Elephas maximus indicus: one gene and its partner. The main gene of each other region encodes a partner of the protein of the gene in region 2 in a complex. Links are inferred from orthologs where the notes say so. Each region holds a gene or a part of one and is shown on either strand. Other genes may lie near its edges.

Region 1 (7,916 bases), on a different chromosome or scaffold from region 2:
AAATCTGCCTGACCTTGGCCCAGCCACTGCACGGCTAGAAATGAATGCACCCACGGTTATAAGTCCATGATCAAAGATGTTTACCGTTGCCTTGCTTGTAACAGCCCTTGTGTGGCACAGTGAACTCGCTTGCTGCTAACTGGAAGGCTGGCAGTTTGAGCCCAGCCAGCGGTGCCTCGGAAGAAAGACCTGGCAATCTACTTCTGAAAAATCCACTGAAAACACTTTGGAGCGCAGTTCTATGATGACACACGTGGGGTTGCCACGACTTGGCATTGACTCGACGGCAAATTTTTTTTTTTTTTTGCTTGTAACAGCTGAGGAATACTCCAGAAACAACCAGAACGTTCCTCAGCGGGAGGCTGGCAGACTTGATAACTGCATGTGTGGAAAGCTAACTAGGATTCTTTGATGACATGTATTAACCACTCACAACCTGCTAAGTCCTGCGTGACTCACCAAAGGCTCCCAGCCACCCTCTGGGCTGGGTGTCATCATCACCCCCATTTTAGAGATGGGCATACTGAGGCTCAGGGGGGCAACAACATCTGCCTTTCAAGGTTAAGTGGCAATTGAGAGGCTTAGCTGGGATTCCAACCCATGCATCGTAATTCCAGAGCTTCCACCGTCTCAACTACACACTGCGCTCTGTCTCTACTCCGAAAAAATAACTGAAAGCGATGTGAGGGGAAAAATCTAGATTACTACAGATTAACAAGCATGTTACGTGATAATTGTTACAGTACAGAGGTTCTCAACTGGGGGTGATTCTGCACCCAGGGGACGCTTGGCAATGCCTGGAGACATTTGCGGTTGTCCCAGCTGGGGGGCGGGGGTGCCACTGGCATGAAGTGGGTGGAGGTCAGGGATGCTGCTCAACACCCTACAGTGCACAGGACGGCCCCACCCTAGGGAATGATCCAACCCCAAACATCAGCAGTGTCGAGGCAGAGAAACCCTGGTAGAGAGGAAACCATTTCGGTAAAGAACAAACGAGGCCATTTATGTGTTTATACGTTTGCATGAGCAACAGAAAATACGTGGACAGTTACAACCCAAACTGCTAACAGGAGAACCTGGTCTGGGGGGAGAGGCAGCTCTTCATTTTAAAAAGAGCGAAATAAGTAATAAACCAGTGGAGTCAGATCTCTGAGGATTTAGGGGAGCAGGGAGGCAAGGCGGAAGGGCCAGCCCCTTCTCCAGGCTCCTCCGAGATGAGACCAGCCAGAGCCTGAGGAGTCAGGGACTTATCTGTCCCCATCAGCTCCCTGAGCCCCTGATAAGATAAATGCTGGCTGCGGCTTTCCTGTGGTCGTGAGTTTTGGGCTATTTTGCCTATGACCACCCAGGCCAGAGGGCGGAAGTCATGAGGCCAGGAAGGAGGGGACCTTGGCCCCACTGGACACTGGCTGCCGGCAAAGAACGAGGGCGAGGCACCTGGCCTGTCGGAATTAACCGGGTCATCTACCAAGCGGTTCCAGATGGCAGCGGGAAGGAGCCAGGGGAACTCTCGCGCGCGTTCTCCCCCTCTCTCTCTCTCCCTCCAGACATTTCTCCTTGCTCCCAGGCACCACACACAGCATCTCCTTGCCTGCCAAGGAAGCTTCGGCAGGCCCGGGGGAGAGGGAGGACGGATGCCCATGTGGGTGTCAAGAGACGCTGCCACAGTCATGAAGGCTGCGGGGGGGGGGGGAAGGCGGAGGATTTTGTGGATTTGAAAACTTCCCACTTGGTAGCTTGTGACCAAGAGGGTACGGTTCCTTTGGGTAGGGGCTCTGCCCTGCACACCACCCCAAGCGCAGGCAGGTGGGGAGACCCCAGGGCAAGGAGGGGCCACCCATCTCCCCACACCTGTTCTGCTGGGGGGCGAGGGAGAGGTGAGAAGAAGGGGAACGGGGACCAGGGAGCCATGACCCCTCACACATGTTCAGGGAGAGGGCTGGGGGGACAGGCCACCAAGGTCTCCTGCCCCCGCATGCTTGCCCAGCCTCGGCATCTCAAAACATCATCCCCTTGAGCTCCTCATTTTATAGGGAAGGAAAACTGAGGCGCAGGAAGGAAGGGAGTGGTCAGTGCACCGGTACCCAGGTCTGGTGTATTCTAGAGAAAGAGCTGAGACAAAGTCAGGAGCTGACCTGGAGGGCCTCAAAGACTCCCACCTCTGCTCCCTGCAGCCCCTTCCCTTCAAGACCAATTAGAGATACCATACCCACTGGGGTGATGCTTGTGGGTGGGAGGCCAGGAAGCTGGCACGCGGAGGGGCGCCCCAGAGGAATGGGTCAAGGCGGGTGTTGACAGCTGGGGCATTGTCAACCCCCTGCCATGGACCCCCTAGAGAGCAGATCCCCTCAGCAGAACGGGGGTACTCAACCATCCCACACTCAGAGCACCCCCTTGACAAAAAGAGTGGGTGGGATGACGCCCCAAGCACACTCAGAGTGAGGCAGTTCACCCACCCAGCTTCCTAAATGGGGCACCCCGACCCTCCCTCCCGGGGTCCCCCAAAAGCGAAGACCATCTTGCCGTATGCTTCCAATCGGGCTGCTGCACCCACAGGCTCCCAGGATGGGGGCCTGCGCCCACGTCCCGCCCCCAAGCCGGTGGTTCTCCACCGCCCCCCACCCCCAGAATGGGCGGCGCCACTGCGCGCCCCCAGGGCAGGACGTTCCAGTCTCCCTGGGCCCCCGGCATGGGCCGCTCCATCCCCCCCGCGAGCGCCCCCGAGTGGAACGTTCCGGCCTCCCCGCCGCAGCGGGTCCGCGCGCCCCTCCGGCGCTCGGGCGGGTCCACTGGGCGGGCGGGGGGGACGGCGGGCGGGCCCATTCGGGGCGAGGGGAGGGACGGCGAGGTCCGGAACCGTTACCTGCCGCCGCGCCGGTCTCCGCGGCCCACGCTGCCTCCGAGGGCACGGCCCCCGCCTCGGCGCTCTCCGCTTCGTCCGGCACCTCCAGTTCCATGGCCGCGCGCGGGCCGGGGCGGGCGGCCAGGGGCTGCGAGCCGAGCTGCGGCCGCCGCCGCTGAACAACAACCGCCGCCGCCGGCTGGAGGGAGCAGGGAGGGGGCCGGGCCGCCGGGGGCGGGGCCGGGGCGGGACCAGGCGCTGCGCCATCGCGCACCCGGGCGCCGCCAATCGGGGCTCGGGCGCGGGGCCTGCGCGCGTCCGCGGAAGCCGGGAGCGCCTCGAGCGCCCCCAGACGCCCAGGGGGTGGAAGGGCACGTCGTTGTCGTCCTTATTTAATATTGTCCCCATCATTCTAGTCACCCAGCGGCTCCGCGGGACAAATGCCTGGCGATCTGCTTCAGTAAAGATTTTTGTGGTTGTGAGGTGCTGTCGAGTCATTTCTCGACTCGTAGAGACCCCATGTGACAGTAGAAGTCCCCGTTGGGTTTTCTTGGGGCAACAGCTAAGCACTCTAACGGTTAAGCTGCTAACCCCAAAGGTTAGTGGTTCAAACCCACCCACTGCTCCGCTGGAGGAAGACCTAGCGATCTCCTTCCTCCCTTAGAGATTAAAAATTACAGCCTAGAAATTGACTAGACGCCACTTAACGACAACAGTCTTTACAGAAGCAGATAGCCCGCCCCGTCTTTCTCCCGAGGAGCCGCTGTGTAGGTTCGAACCACCAACCTTTTGGTTAGCAGCTGGGCGCTTTAACCCCACTGTGCCACCAGGGCTCCTTCCCGCCCCTGGTACGCACTAATGAATTTTGGTCTCTATACGTTTGCTCTGGAAACCCTGGTGGCATGGTGGTTAAGTGCTACGGCTGCTAACCCTAAGGGTCGGCAGTTCGAATCCGCCAGGCGCTCCTTGGAAACTCCATGGGGCAGTTCTACTCTGTCCTATAGGGTCGCTATGAGTCGGAATCGACCCGACGGCACTGGGTTTTTTTTTTTTTTTTAACACATTTGCCTGAGGAGCCCTAGTGGTGCAGTGATTAAGCTCTTGGCTGCTAACTGAGAAGTTAGCAGTTGTATGCCACCAGTTGCTCCAAGGGAGAAAGACATGGCAGTCTGCTTCCTTAAAAATTACAGCCTTGGAAACCCTATGGGGCAGTTCTACCCTGTCCTATCGGGTCACTATGAATGGGAATCAACTCAATGGCATCGGGTTTGGTATATACGTATAGACACGTGTACTCACCACAATTAAATAAATATTTAAAAAATAACGTTTCTGAGCATTTATTAGGCTTGACAATAAAGTCTCTCTCTCCATGAGATATTTCCATAAACTGTTGTCGTGGGCCGTTGAGTTGATTCCAACTCACAGGGGCCCCTGTGACAAAGCAGAACTGCCCCCACAGGGTTTTCTTGGCTGTAATCTTTACAGGAGCAGATTTCCAGGCCTTTTCTTCCTTGAAGCCTCTGGGTGGGTAGGAACCACCAGCCTTTCAGTTAGCAGCCAAGTGCTTAGCCATTTGTGCCCCCGGGGCACCTTTTGTTGTTGTCGTTGTTGTCTTGTGCGGTCAAGTTAATTCCAACTTTCGGCGACCCCCACGTGTCACAGGATAGAGCTGCACTCCTTCACAGGGTTTTCCTTATGGAAGCAGAGCACCGGGCCTTTCTTTCATGAATCCATGGGCGGTTCAAACCGCCAAACTTTCAAGCATCAGCTGAGCACAACCCTTTTGTACCACCCAGGGTCTTTCTTTTTTATAGTATATTCCCGGTACCTAACAGACAACTGGCACCTAGAGGATTTGAAAGTATTACTTTTGAAAACTTATCATTTCAAAATTGATTTGACACTTGTTAATTGGAAAAGATTAACCGACCTTATGGGTGCTATTATCATTCCCGTTTTACACGCGAGAAAACAGGAGCTCAGCCATCTGCTCTGAATCACCCGAAGTGTCACCCCGTAAATCAGTGCTATCTTTGTGCTGGGAACACTTGAGTTAACATTGTTATTGGTACATAATGGTGAGTGTATTCATTACAGGAGTGTTCATTCTGATGTCAGGATTTGGGCATAATAAATGTGGCTATTAGTTGTTGTTGTTAGGTGCTGTCAAGTCTGTTCCGACTCAATAACGACCCCATATACAACAGAATGAAACACTGCCTGGTCCTGTGCCATCCCCGTGATGGGTTTCAGGTCAGGCCGCTGTGATCCATAGGGTTTTCACTGGCTGATTTTCAAAAGTAGATCGCCAAGCCACTCTTACTCGTCCAGCTCAGTCTGGAAGCTCCGCGGAAACCTGTTCAGCATCCTAGCAACAGAGAAGCCTCCACTGACAGACCGGTGGTGGCTGGCGCATGAGGGGCCCCGGCCTGGAATGGAACGTGGGTCGCCTGCATGGAAGACAAGCATTCTGCCACTGAGCCACCACCGCCCCCCGTAGAGTCTGAGAGCCCCGGGATCTGATAATGGCAGAAGGGCTGGGGCTGGGAGCAGCGGTGAGGATAAAAAAAAATGACACAAATTTAACCTCAGGGGTGACTCTGAATCTCTCCTGGTGGGAACCCAATATGCAAACTGAAAAGTCAAGAAGCGGTAAGACAAAAAACTAGCACAGTATTTAAAAAAGAGGGGGTAAATGTCAAAACTATCAGCTAAAACAACGTGGGAGCAAGTTTCCAGGAGAATTCAATGTTGATTTCCTTAATGAAACTTGACAATTATTTGACTCTTGAAAATGCATGTATATTCTGTTTGGGGAAAGGAAAATGTTGGAACTGGATAACGGTGATGGTCTCACGACATGTGACTGTAATTAATGCCACTGAGTTATGCATTTAAAAATGGCTAAAATGGCAAATTTCATGTTAAACGGACTTACCCCAATAAACATTTTTAAAGCAACTTTTAAGTGCGTGCATGTATAACCTTAATAAAAAATGGAAACAAAAAAAAAGAACTTGGAGGTGGCGTCTCCCCACCCTCCCATCCCTCGGGGGTCGTCCCCATTTTGCGGGGTCCAAAGCTGGGGCTGCCCTGCTAGGGCCGTTGTCTGGTTTCTGGCGCCCCCTGGTGGCCCGAGTGGCTGCTGCCATCAGCATCAGATACCGCCTCCAGTAAGAGGGTCCTGGCAGGGTGTTTCCATCTCCCACTCCATATTCCATTAATTTCACAAATATTTATTGAGCTCCTACCGTATACCAGGCACTATTCTAGCCCTTAGGGATATAGCGATGAGCAAGACAAAATGGGATTACATCCTAGAGAGATAACATGCAAGCAAGTCAGGCTCAAGGTAGTTCCAGTGGCTGATAAAATGCTTTAAAAGTCATACAGGCAGCTGTGAAAGAAAAAGATAGGCTCTTTTTTTTTTCATTAGCTAATGGGTTGTTGTTGTTAACTGCCCTCGACTCTTGGTGACTCCGTGCACAACGGAACAAGATGCGACCCTGTCCTGCACCGTCCTATGATCATCTGGGCATAAGACCACGGGGTTTCATTGGCTAATTTTGGAGACTTGATTGCCAGGCCTTTCTTCCTAGCCCATCTTAGTATGGAAGCTCTGCTGTTCAGAGTCCTAGTAATACGCAAGCCTCCACTGACAGATGGGTGGTGGCTACGCATGAAATGCACTGGCTAGGAATTGAACCTGGGACTCCTGCGCGGAAGGTGAGAATTCTACTGCTGGACCACCACTGTCTCATACCCTACCCGTTGCCGTCTTGTCGATACCAACTCATAGAGACCCTATAGGATAGAGTAGAACTGCCCCATAGAGTTTCCAAGCAGTGCCTGGTGGATTTGAACTGCAGACCTTTTGGTTTGCAGCCGTAGCACTTAACCACTACACCACTCATACCACTTTCTAGATGAGAAAACTAAGGACTAGAGAGGTTAAGCGACTTACCCAAGGCCACACAGTTGGGAAGAGGTTGAAGGTTCTCGGCAGAGAAACAGGATTTGCGTTCAGATCTGCAGGGAAGTGGGGAGAGTGGGTCTGGTGGACAGTGGAGCAAAAGCAAAGACTTGGCAGTTCTGATGCAGACAGGACAGGGGCAGGCAGAGCCAGGGATTTCAACCCATCCATCCCTTAACTTATTCAGCAAATGTTTTCTGCACACCTGAATGTGCCAATGCCAGGGGCCCAGCAGTGAATGACAGGGCGGGTCATCCTGGCCTCCGGGCACGCAGGGGTTAAGGGCAGCTGCTCTCACGTAAAAGCACCTTACGACAGAGCCACACACCTGCAGCCGCAAGGGCAGGCCGGCCTCTCACACACTTACCACCGGCCAGCGCACGCCGCCACTGCACTAGTCCCAGCTGGCACGGGGCCTAGAGCAGCCACCAGGGAGAAGAAGTTGGACAAACAGGTGGGGAGGCCAGCACCCCAGCCTCAGATCCCCTCCCCACCCCCATGCCAGGTAGGCACCTGGGCCCTGGATCCTGACACCTGCCCAGAAGCCACCCAGCTCCCTGGAAGGTAAGCCCCCTCACTGCCCTACCCACCACCTTGCTGGCCTGGGCTGGGCTGGGATTTGTCCACGGCAGTGTCCTGGGACCCCTATCACCTCCCCCCAACTCCCCAGAAAGCAGAAAACTGACCCTCCAGTATGGGCGTCTGACATGGTTTCCAGGGGATTGGCTGGCTGGCGGCTCCTGCCCTGGCTGCGTGCCCAGGGCACCACTTGAAAGGGTCATTGTTGCCCAGGTGGTGCCAGGAAGGCCCAAGGGGCACAGGTTGGAGCCCCTGAGTGGAGGAGGGGAGGGGGCGTCAGCTCCCACCGAGACCCAGGTTTGCCTCCTGTGGCCTGACGCGGTAGCAGATGGGGCAGGCTGGCACCTGGCTGGCCCTGAGCCTCTGGAAACTTCTCAAGCAGGTCCCAAGCTTTCGGACAGTTGCACCCCCTCCCCACTGCTGGCACCTCCAGAAGCCGGGGGGAGGAGGGGGCCCAGGCTTGGGGGGAGATTATCTGGGCCGAGTCTCCCAACTCAGAAATGCAGTTTGGGGCCAGGG
Region 2 (7,292 bases):
TTTATTTCTTTCCTTACCCCCTCCCTTCACTGCATGAAATGTACGATGAGGTTCAGTTGATTCCACCAGGCCCATTCACAGAATGATAGAGACAACACAGGTACTAATAAAAGACCCAGAAAGCCAGTAAGTCTGGTGTGTTTGAGCCTCAGTCTTCCTGGCAGGGCTGAAGGTAGCCCTTTCTCATTCCTTTGTATTTGGACACAGACTGGGGCTCCCAGCCTCTTGCTGAGGCCCTCCTCATCCTCCCATCTAGCCTGAGTATCTGACCTGCAAGATGACAGACGAGGGGCTGTGGGTAGAGAGCCATCTACCCTTTCTTGTGAGATTGGTCTGCAGGGGAAGGATGGGACTTAGGCAGGAGTGCATTGAGACGGGGTCAGAGAGGGTCCACTTCAGGGGAGGCTCTGCACCAGGATCCTGAGGCACGTGGTTCAAAAAGCAGCAAGAATTGCCAGGGACCTGGAGGAAATGGTCTGAGCTGTCCAGCAACTGGTTTGTGCTGTCCTTTGGTACCTCTGACTGCAGGGCAGGGAGCTCCAGTTGGTGAGGGTCCTCACTGGGGAGGGATCGAAGCTGGCGGGACAACACTGAGGGGACAAAGAAGATTTTCAGGGGCAGGCCAGGGCCTCTTCCCCCAACCCATGCCTTCCTTGATGGTAGCCTCAAGCCTCTTACCTCCATGCTCTGCTGGCAGGCTCCCCCTTATGTCAGAGGAGTACATCGCAGGTATGAGGAGGAGGCAGAAGGAGAAGAGTAGGACCTGGAGCACAGAGAAAAGGAGATAAAGAAAGGGGCTCTGGATTGCACCCTGCCCCCGCTACCTGAGAAAAAGATGTCTCCTTCCATCACCAGCCTCACCAGGACACAGGTGCTGCTGCTGCTGGTTTTGTTTGATATCTGAATCACCATGGCTTGGAGTTTCCTCAACTGATCCAGAAGGGACCTAGAGGGAGAGAAGGGAGAGAAGAGAGAGTGAGCACACCCTGGCCTGGTAACTGAGATACAATGAAACTCTCCTGTTAAGGCCACCCCCTCCATCTGTGCCCTGGATCATCTCTTACTTTGTTTTTGCCAGTGACCACTTTTCTGCAGATAAAATGCTTAAAGCTCCCCATTAAAAACAAACAACAAAAAAAATAATCTCTCCACCCTGACAAATTCCTTTGGCAAATACCTTCAGTAGTTCTGCCTGATCAATGATGCCCATAGTCCTCACCAGGCATTCCATAACCTCTACCTTCTGGTCCCAACTCACCTGTGTCAGAGTTCCAGCCAAACCAGATGGTGGTGTGTTCACTCTGCTTGAAATGTTTACTTCACCCCTAGAATCCTATCTACTATCAAATGCCATCTACCCACTGAAGTGTTTCTTCCTCCTTCCTTTCTCTTTCTTGGTTATAGTTATTTGTGAATTCTGCCAGTACTTTGAGCTTCCTGGACCCACATTGAAGGCTAAGTACCAGATTGCATATAGGAGCTGCCCAGTTAGAAGTCAAGTGTGGAACAGGGGAAAGAGTGGGGCAGCATTAAATGGGGGTGATGGGAAAGGACTAATGTTGGAGGGTTGCTTACAGATTCTCTTCCTCCAAGAGCTGCACCTTGTTCTGTAACTCCAGATTCTGGGCTGTGTATTTCAAGATCCTGGGGGGAATAACAGGGATATGACCTCTGTCTTCCCTTTAAAATCATTTCCAACTACCTCTGTTCCCCCCACCCTTGAGCCCTTCTTCCTTTCATACCTGCTCTCTAAACCTCCCACATACACCTTCTTCTTCCTACGACTCTCTTGAGCAGACTTTTTGTTTCGAATCTTCCTCCGTACTCGTTTGAGGGCTTGTTCCTCCTTCTGGAAGAAGATGGGGGAAGGGGCATCATCAGAGGAACACTGGACCGAAGAGTTGGAAGGCAAATGAGTTCAATCACCTGACCAGTATGCACTCGGCTTCTGTGCAGAACGCCGCTGGGAGCCAGGTGTTAACATCTCTGTTAATAAGCCCGGACCACTTTTAACAATTTTATATTTTTTTTAAATCTCCCAAGCCCACATCTGCCTCCTTATAATTTCTATCCATTGGACTGACCTAGTATCTAATCTTTGAAGCCGTGTTGAACAAACCTTCCTTAGTTATTTTAAGACATTTGACATTTCTTCAGAGTTTAAAAAAAAAAAAACCTGGACAAAAATTTTATCTCATTTTATCTACTCTCCTCAGGATGGATTCCATCCTGTTAATATCTGTTAAATATCTGGGTTCAAAACTCAATACTAAGATGTGCCCTGGCAAATACAAAAGAGAACAGGATAGTCACTCCACTTCTGAAGGCAACACCTCTACTGATGCAGCCTCCAAGTCCCATTCACTCAGTAGCCGTATCTTCCTGCTGACCTGCTGACTCACTGCACTTGCAAGAAATTTATATTTAAATTCCCTTAACCATTCTGTCAGTGAACATTGATTTCATCACAGTTGCACAATACCGGGCCTATGAAGTCACTCAATAAATATAAACGCAGGAATTTATATTTATTTTTGTTATACTGTTACTCCAACCTTACTGAATGATCTAAAGCTTAATTCTATAATTCAGCCAGAAGTGGATTACTACGAAGTCAATGAAATCTAAGTGTCAGAGACCCTCACTTGCACAAGGCTCTATAGTAATATTGTGCTGATAATTATGATTTTTTTTTCTTAATGAGAATACTGAAATTGTATGTTTCAGACCCCACAAAACCAGCATTTTGCATCCATCATATTACCTATATGCCCCAGCTTCCCATTACCAACAAATTTGCTAAATTTCCCACCTCTGTCCTTTTTTGGGAAACTCTGGTGGTGTAGTGATTAAGTGCTATGGCTGCTAACCAAAAGGTCAGCGGTTCGAATCCACCAGGCACTCCTTGGAAATTCTATGGGGTAGTTCTACTCTGTCTTATAGGATAGCTATGAGTCAGATTGACTCGACAACAGTGGGTTTGCTTTCTTGGTTGGTCCTTTTTCAAGTTACTGATAGAAAATTAACAAGATTAGCTTACTCGAGACTCATAAAACCTCCCTCCAGCTTTTGCTCTGCCAATGGGAGACTTACCTTAGTAAGAGGAAGTGTCCCAGGCAGCGAAAGCCCCTCCTTCTCCAATAGCCTCTTCTCCTCCTCTGTCAGTATCAGTTCCTCAATCTCCTGGGGTTATTGAGGGTGGGAGGGAGAAGCAGAGTTGCAAGGGGTTGTCAGAGGAATGGGGAATCCTGCCCCCATTTGCGCAATGTAGGAATAATCCTCCTGTTAGTCAAGTACCTGCTCTGCAGGCTCCTTCACCTGCAGGGGAGTCATCTGGGCCACCTTCCCACAGCTCCCACTGTCTGCAAAAGAAAAAGTATGAATAGCCAGACCCATGAGCACTTTCCTCCCCATAAACCTCAAATATTTCAGACTCACCTGTATCTACGGAGACATGTTCCTGTGGGAGAGAGTAGTTGTGATCATGACTGACAGGACAGGGATTGAAGGAGCTGAGAGCCTTCAACGATGCTGGGGGACTTAGCAGGGAACTCAGGAAATCCTCCACATCCCAATCACTCAGTACCTGCACATGGTTCAATAAACAGGCTTTGACCTATCACCACCATCCCATGCCTCATGGACGCCCCCAGCCCCGTGCCTCACCTACTCAGAACTTCCACTCACCTCGGAGAGCGGCAGCTCCCAGTCCAGCGGAGCCTCCAGGGCCTCCTCCGGCGCCACCCCCAAATCTCCGCTTTCCTCTAGCAGAAAACCCAGCAGGTCTTGGTCGTTGGGACCCAGTGCCAGCTCCATACTACAGACAAGAATGGACAGAAACCCGGGGATTCACCCCGCCACCCAGCTCCAACCCCCGAATTTCAGGCACGAACCACAGCCCAGTTGTTTGTTGGTCTCGGGTCCCTCTTCGCCGCACTTTGCCTTTAGCTGTCACTCTCACGCGGACCCGCCTCCCAGATCCAGTCTCTGCCGCTTCCAACACAACGGAAGTAATACATCTCGCCACCATGGCACTCTGGGACATGGAGTTCCCTCCAACTCGGAAGTGGCCTGGGTGCTGCGCCACGTCCCAGGAGCTATGCAAATAGTGGGGACGTCCCGTCAGCCTCCGCACACCCTGAGGGCGGGAATTCGGGTGATCCGGCTCCGCCTTCGCCTCGAGCGAAAAAAGGAAGGATTCCAGACTAAAAGGGAACTCGAGCACAGTTCGGGCGTTTCCTCTGGATTGTGCGCGCCCTTGCTTCCTGCCGGGGAGGGGCTGCCAGTCTTCGGCCGGCTGTCGAGCATCGAGAGCTGGGGCCAGAGCAGCTTCCTGCAGTCCCGGCAACCATAGAGCGCGGGCCCAGGGCGCCGCCCGCGGGTGGGGGACGTTCCGGGGACGGAAGTGGCCGAGAGAGAGCCTGTCGGCGGGAGGGCGAGGCCAGAGCCCCAGAGCGACCGGGAGAACGACCGGGCTAGCGGGCCGGCGGGCGGGGCACAGAGCCGGGCAGCTCAGGTAGGCCGGACCGGGCCGAGCTAGAGCCCCGGGGTGGGGCCGCAAGGCCCGGCCCGGGAGGCGGGCGGGCGGGGCCGCTGGCAGTCCTGCGTCTGTTTCGGGTCCTTTTGGAGAGGTCAGGGTCCAATATATCTCGGCTTGGTCTCGGAGCTCAGTAGGCCGTTTTGCGGGAGCCAGGCTTTTCCTAGGCGCAGTCCTTTGCCTGCGGTGGGCTTTAGGGAAGGTGAGGAGTGACCACAGTGAGGCGCAGGGCGGTAATAGGTTTTGAGGTTAGCTGATAGTGGATATGTGAGTAGGAACGCTTTGCTAAGTTTGGGATTAGATGAGATTGGGTGGTGGATTTAACGTTAGCTTTAAGAGTTATAAAGCCAGGGTCGAAACTTCGAGTTATTAGTGTAAATTCAGCCTATTTTATATGTAAAGTTTAGATTGAGGCCATTATTTTGTTTTCTGGGATGGACAGCCTAAATCAAAGTTAGAGTTCAGGGTCGGGTTAAAGGTCAACAACAGGAATTAGGTTAGACGCCCATTTTAGGGATTACAGAAGTTGGCAAGGTCAATATTAGGGATACATAATGATGGGGTGGGTTAGGAATAAAAATACAAGTGAATATTAGTTTTAAGACTCAGCATTTAGAGTTAAGGTCAGGGAGTTTGATGTTAACGGTAAAGTCAGGTCAGCATTTAGGATCAGGCATTGAATATGGTTCTCTGCTAGGAAAGAGACGACTGTCAAAGCCAGTATTGGCAATCAGGAAACTGGTTAGGGTCAGAGTTAATGTTAGGAATTAGGGGGCAGCTTTAGGGGTTATGATTGAGGTCAGGGTAGTTGATCTCAGGTAGATGAAATTTAAGAAGCTGTCACTAGGTAGATGCTCTTGCTTTGGGGGAAAGTCTTATTCCTAGGTAGTCACGGGGACTTCTTTAACCCAGAATGATGACAATCTGGGCTGGAAGTGCAGGCAACTAGGAATCCAGCTTCTCTATTCTACTCTCTAAATCCAAGTTTCTTTCTGTGGCCAGCACAAATGGAGGATTGGGGTTTCCTGGACTGTGTTGTTTACAAGGTGAGAGATAAGAAAGGGACAGGGGCCCAGGAGATGCACAATGTCTAGTCATAAGTGGAGAACTACCGAGGGGAGAAGAGACTGATGACTAAGGGGGAAGCAGACCAAGGAAATGCTCTTGTCATGGGAGAAGAGGGTGGCCGAATCTACCGAAAGTTAACTCCTACTGCTCCCTCATTCCCTAGATATTAAGCCCTCCTCTCCAGCTCTCATCCCTGGCGCTGCATTCCACACCCTTCCTGCATACCCCCTTACAAAGTACTTCCCTTGCCTTTAACTCTCCATATTCTTCATCTGCTTACCACCTATTCCCAACCTCAGTTCTGCCAGGCCTTCCCTACTTGATTCACACATCCTACCTTAATTTACCCTTATCCAAACCTGAGCTTTCCCATCATGTTAAAACACCCTTCTACCTTTTTCACCCACTCATCCATCTGCATACCATCTGCTCATCTGAGCAGCCTCCCCAACCCAACACAACTGCCACATACCCCCAGTCCCTGTGCCATCTTCCAATTCTAAGCCTCCTTTAATTTCTTGGTCCAATTGAAGATCCCCTTCCCCCACTCCCCAAACAGAAAAGAGGAAACGAGACCCAAAGAGGAAACTGGGTCTTGCTGATCCCACGCCCAGCCAGGCCACTGACCACACCCCCATTTCGCTCCCAGCCTGACCCAGCCACTGACCACAGCCCTAGCCCCTACCCAGCCTGACCCAGCCATTGGCTGCATCCCATCCCGCCCCCAGCTCCAGCTTTACTTAGCCATTGCCAATGTCCTCTCACCGTACCCACACCCCACCTAATTTAGCCACTGACGACAGCCCCATCTCTTTTCAATCCCCTGTAGCCTGACCTGGCCTCTGACCTCACTCCATCTTTTCCCTGAGTCTGACTTAGCCACTGCCCATATATTCATTCCTCTACTTCCCCTGTGCTGATCCAGTGACTTATCATATATTCATCTTTCCTGCCACCATCATTCCACCATCTCTAGCCTGATGTAGTCACTGACCACGCCCCACCTGCTCCTACCTGGCTACTAACCACATACCTGTCCCCTTTTCCTGGCAGCCTCATCCTCACATTCCCAGCTCAACCTGATTCCTCTCCCCTTTACCTAAACTCAAGCTGTCCCAGAAACTAAGTGGCTACTGATGACAGGAAGCTATGGGACCCCCACCTGACTTTAGGCCCTGGTCTCTGAGGGTTGACAGGACAGACTTGTCAAGTCCTGTCAGTTCTACTTCTTAACCTTTTTTCTAAGTGACATCTTCCTCTCCACCTTCTAACTCTGGCTTCCATATCTCTCACTTGTGCTAATATGGTATTTTTCTAACCAATCTCCAAGATAACTGTCAGAGTTATATTCTAAAATCCAGTTCTGGTCATGTTCCTTCTCTGCTCAAAAGCCTCCCTTGGCCACTTGCTGCCCTCTAGTAGGTAAAATACCTCATACTCCTCTCTAGTCCTCCCTTGCCTTTCTATCCGAACCCTAACTTCCCCACCACTGCTCCCTTGCAGGTACCCTGTGCTTCAACCAGCCTGCCTACTCACTTCCCTGAATGCTCCTCTGCGATTTCCTGCTTCTCCACCTTTGCTTATGCTATTCTCTGCCTGGAATGCTACCCTTGACTCATCTCCGGCTGGCGTAGTGGAGAGAGCTTGGGCCTTGGAGTCAGAGAAACCTGAGTTCGGATCCTGGCTC

What was found.
Region 1: the proteins of TLN1 (region 2) and PIP5K1C are in contact, whole or in part, in a crystal structure (PDB 1Y19), measured with the Mus musculus proteins. The link is inferred for Elephas maximus indicus from reciprocal best matches to the Homo sapiens genes TLN1 and PIP5K1C. Residues at the interface, in NP_035732.2 of Mus musculus: Pro209, Val210, Gln211, Leu212, Leu214; in NP_032870.2 of Mus musculus: Pro646, Leu647, His648, Tyr649, Ser650, Ala651.

What each region holds. Positions count from the first base shown.
Region 1 is NC_064821.1:6,755,944-6,763,859, forward strand, and holds the start of PIP5K1C (phosphatidylinositol 4-phosphate 5-kinase type-1 gamma), read right to left. Parts: upstream 3,053-7,916; 5' UTR 2,958-3,052; coding exon 2,864-2,957; intron 1-2,863. UniProt on the Homo sapiens protein: Catalyzes the phosphorylation of phosphatidylinositol 4-phosphate (PtdIns(4)P/PI4P) to form phosphatidylinositol 4,5-bisphosphate (PtdIns(4,5)P2/PIP2), a lipid second messenger that regulates several cellular processes such as signal transduction, vesicle trafficking, actin cytoskeleton dynamics, cell adhesion, and cell motility.
Region 2 is NC_064827.1:44,515,740-44,523,031, reverse strand, and holds the start of TLN1 (talin-1), read left to right. Parts: upstream 1-4,287; 5' UTR 4,288-4,516; intron 4,517-7,292. Other genes in the region: CREB3 (cyclic AMP-responsive element-binding protein 3), read right to left, coding at 253-590, 679-763, 862-946, 1,576-1,644, 1,743-1,849, 3,094-3,183, 3,298-3,362, 3,439-3,586 and 1 more. UniProt on the Homo sapiens protein: High molecular weight cytoskeletal protein concentrated at regions of cell-matrix and cell-cell contacts. Involved in connections of major cytoskeletal structures to the plasma membrane.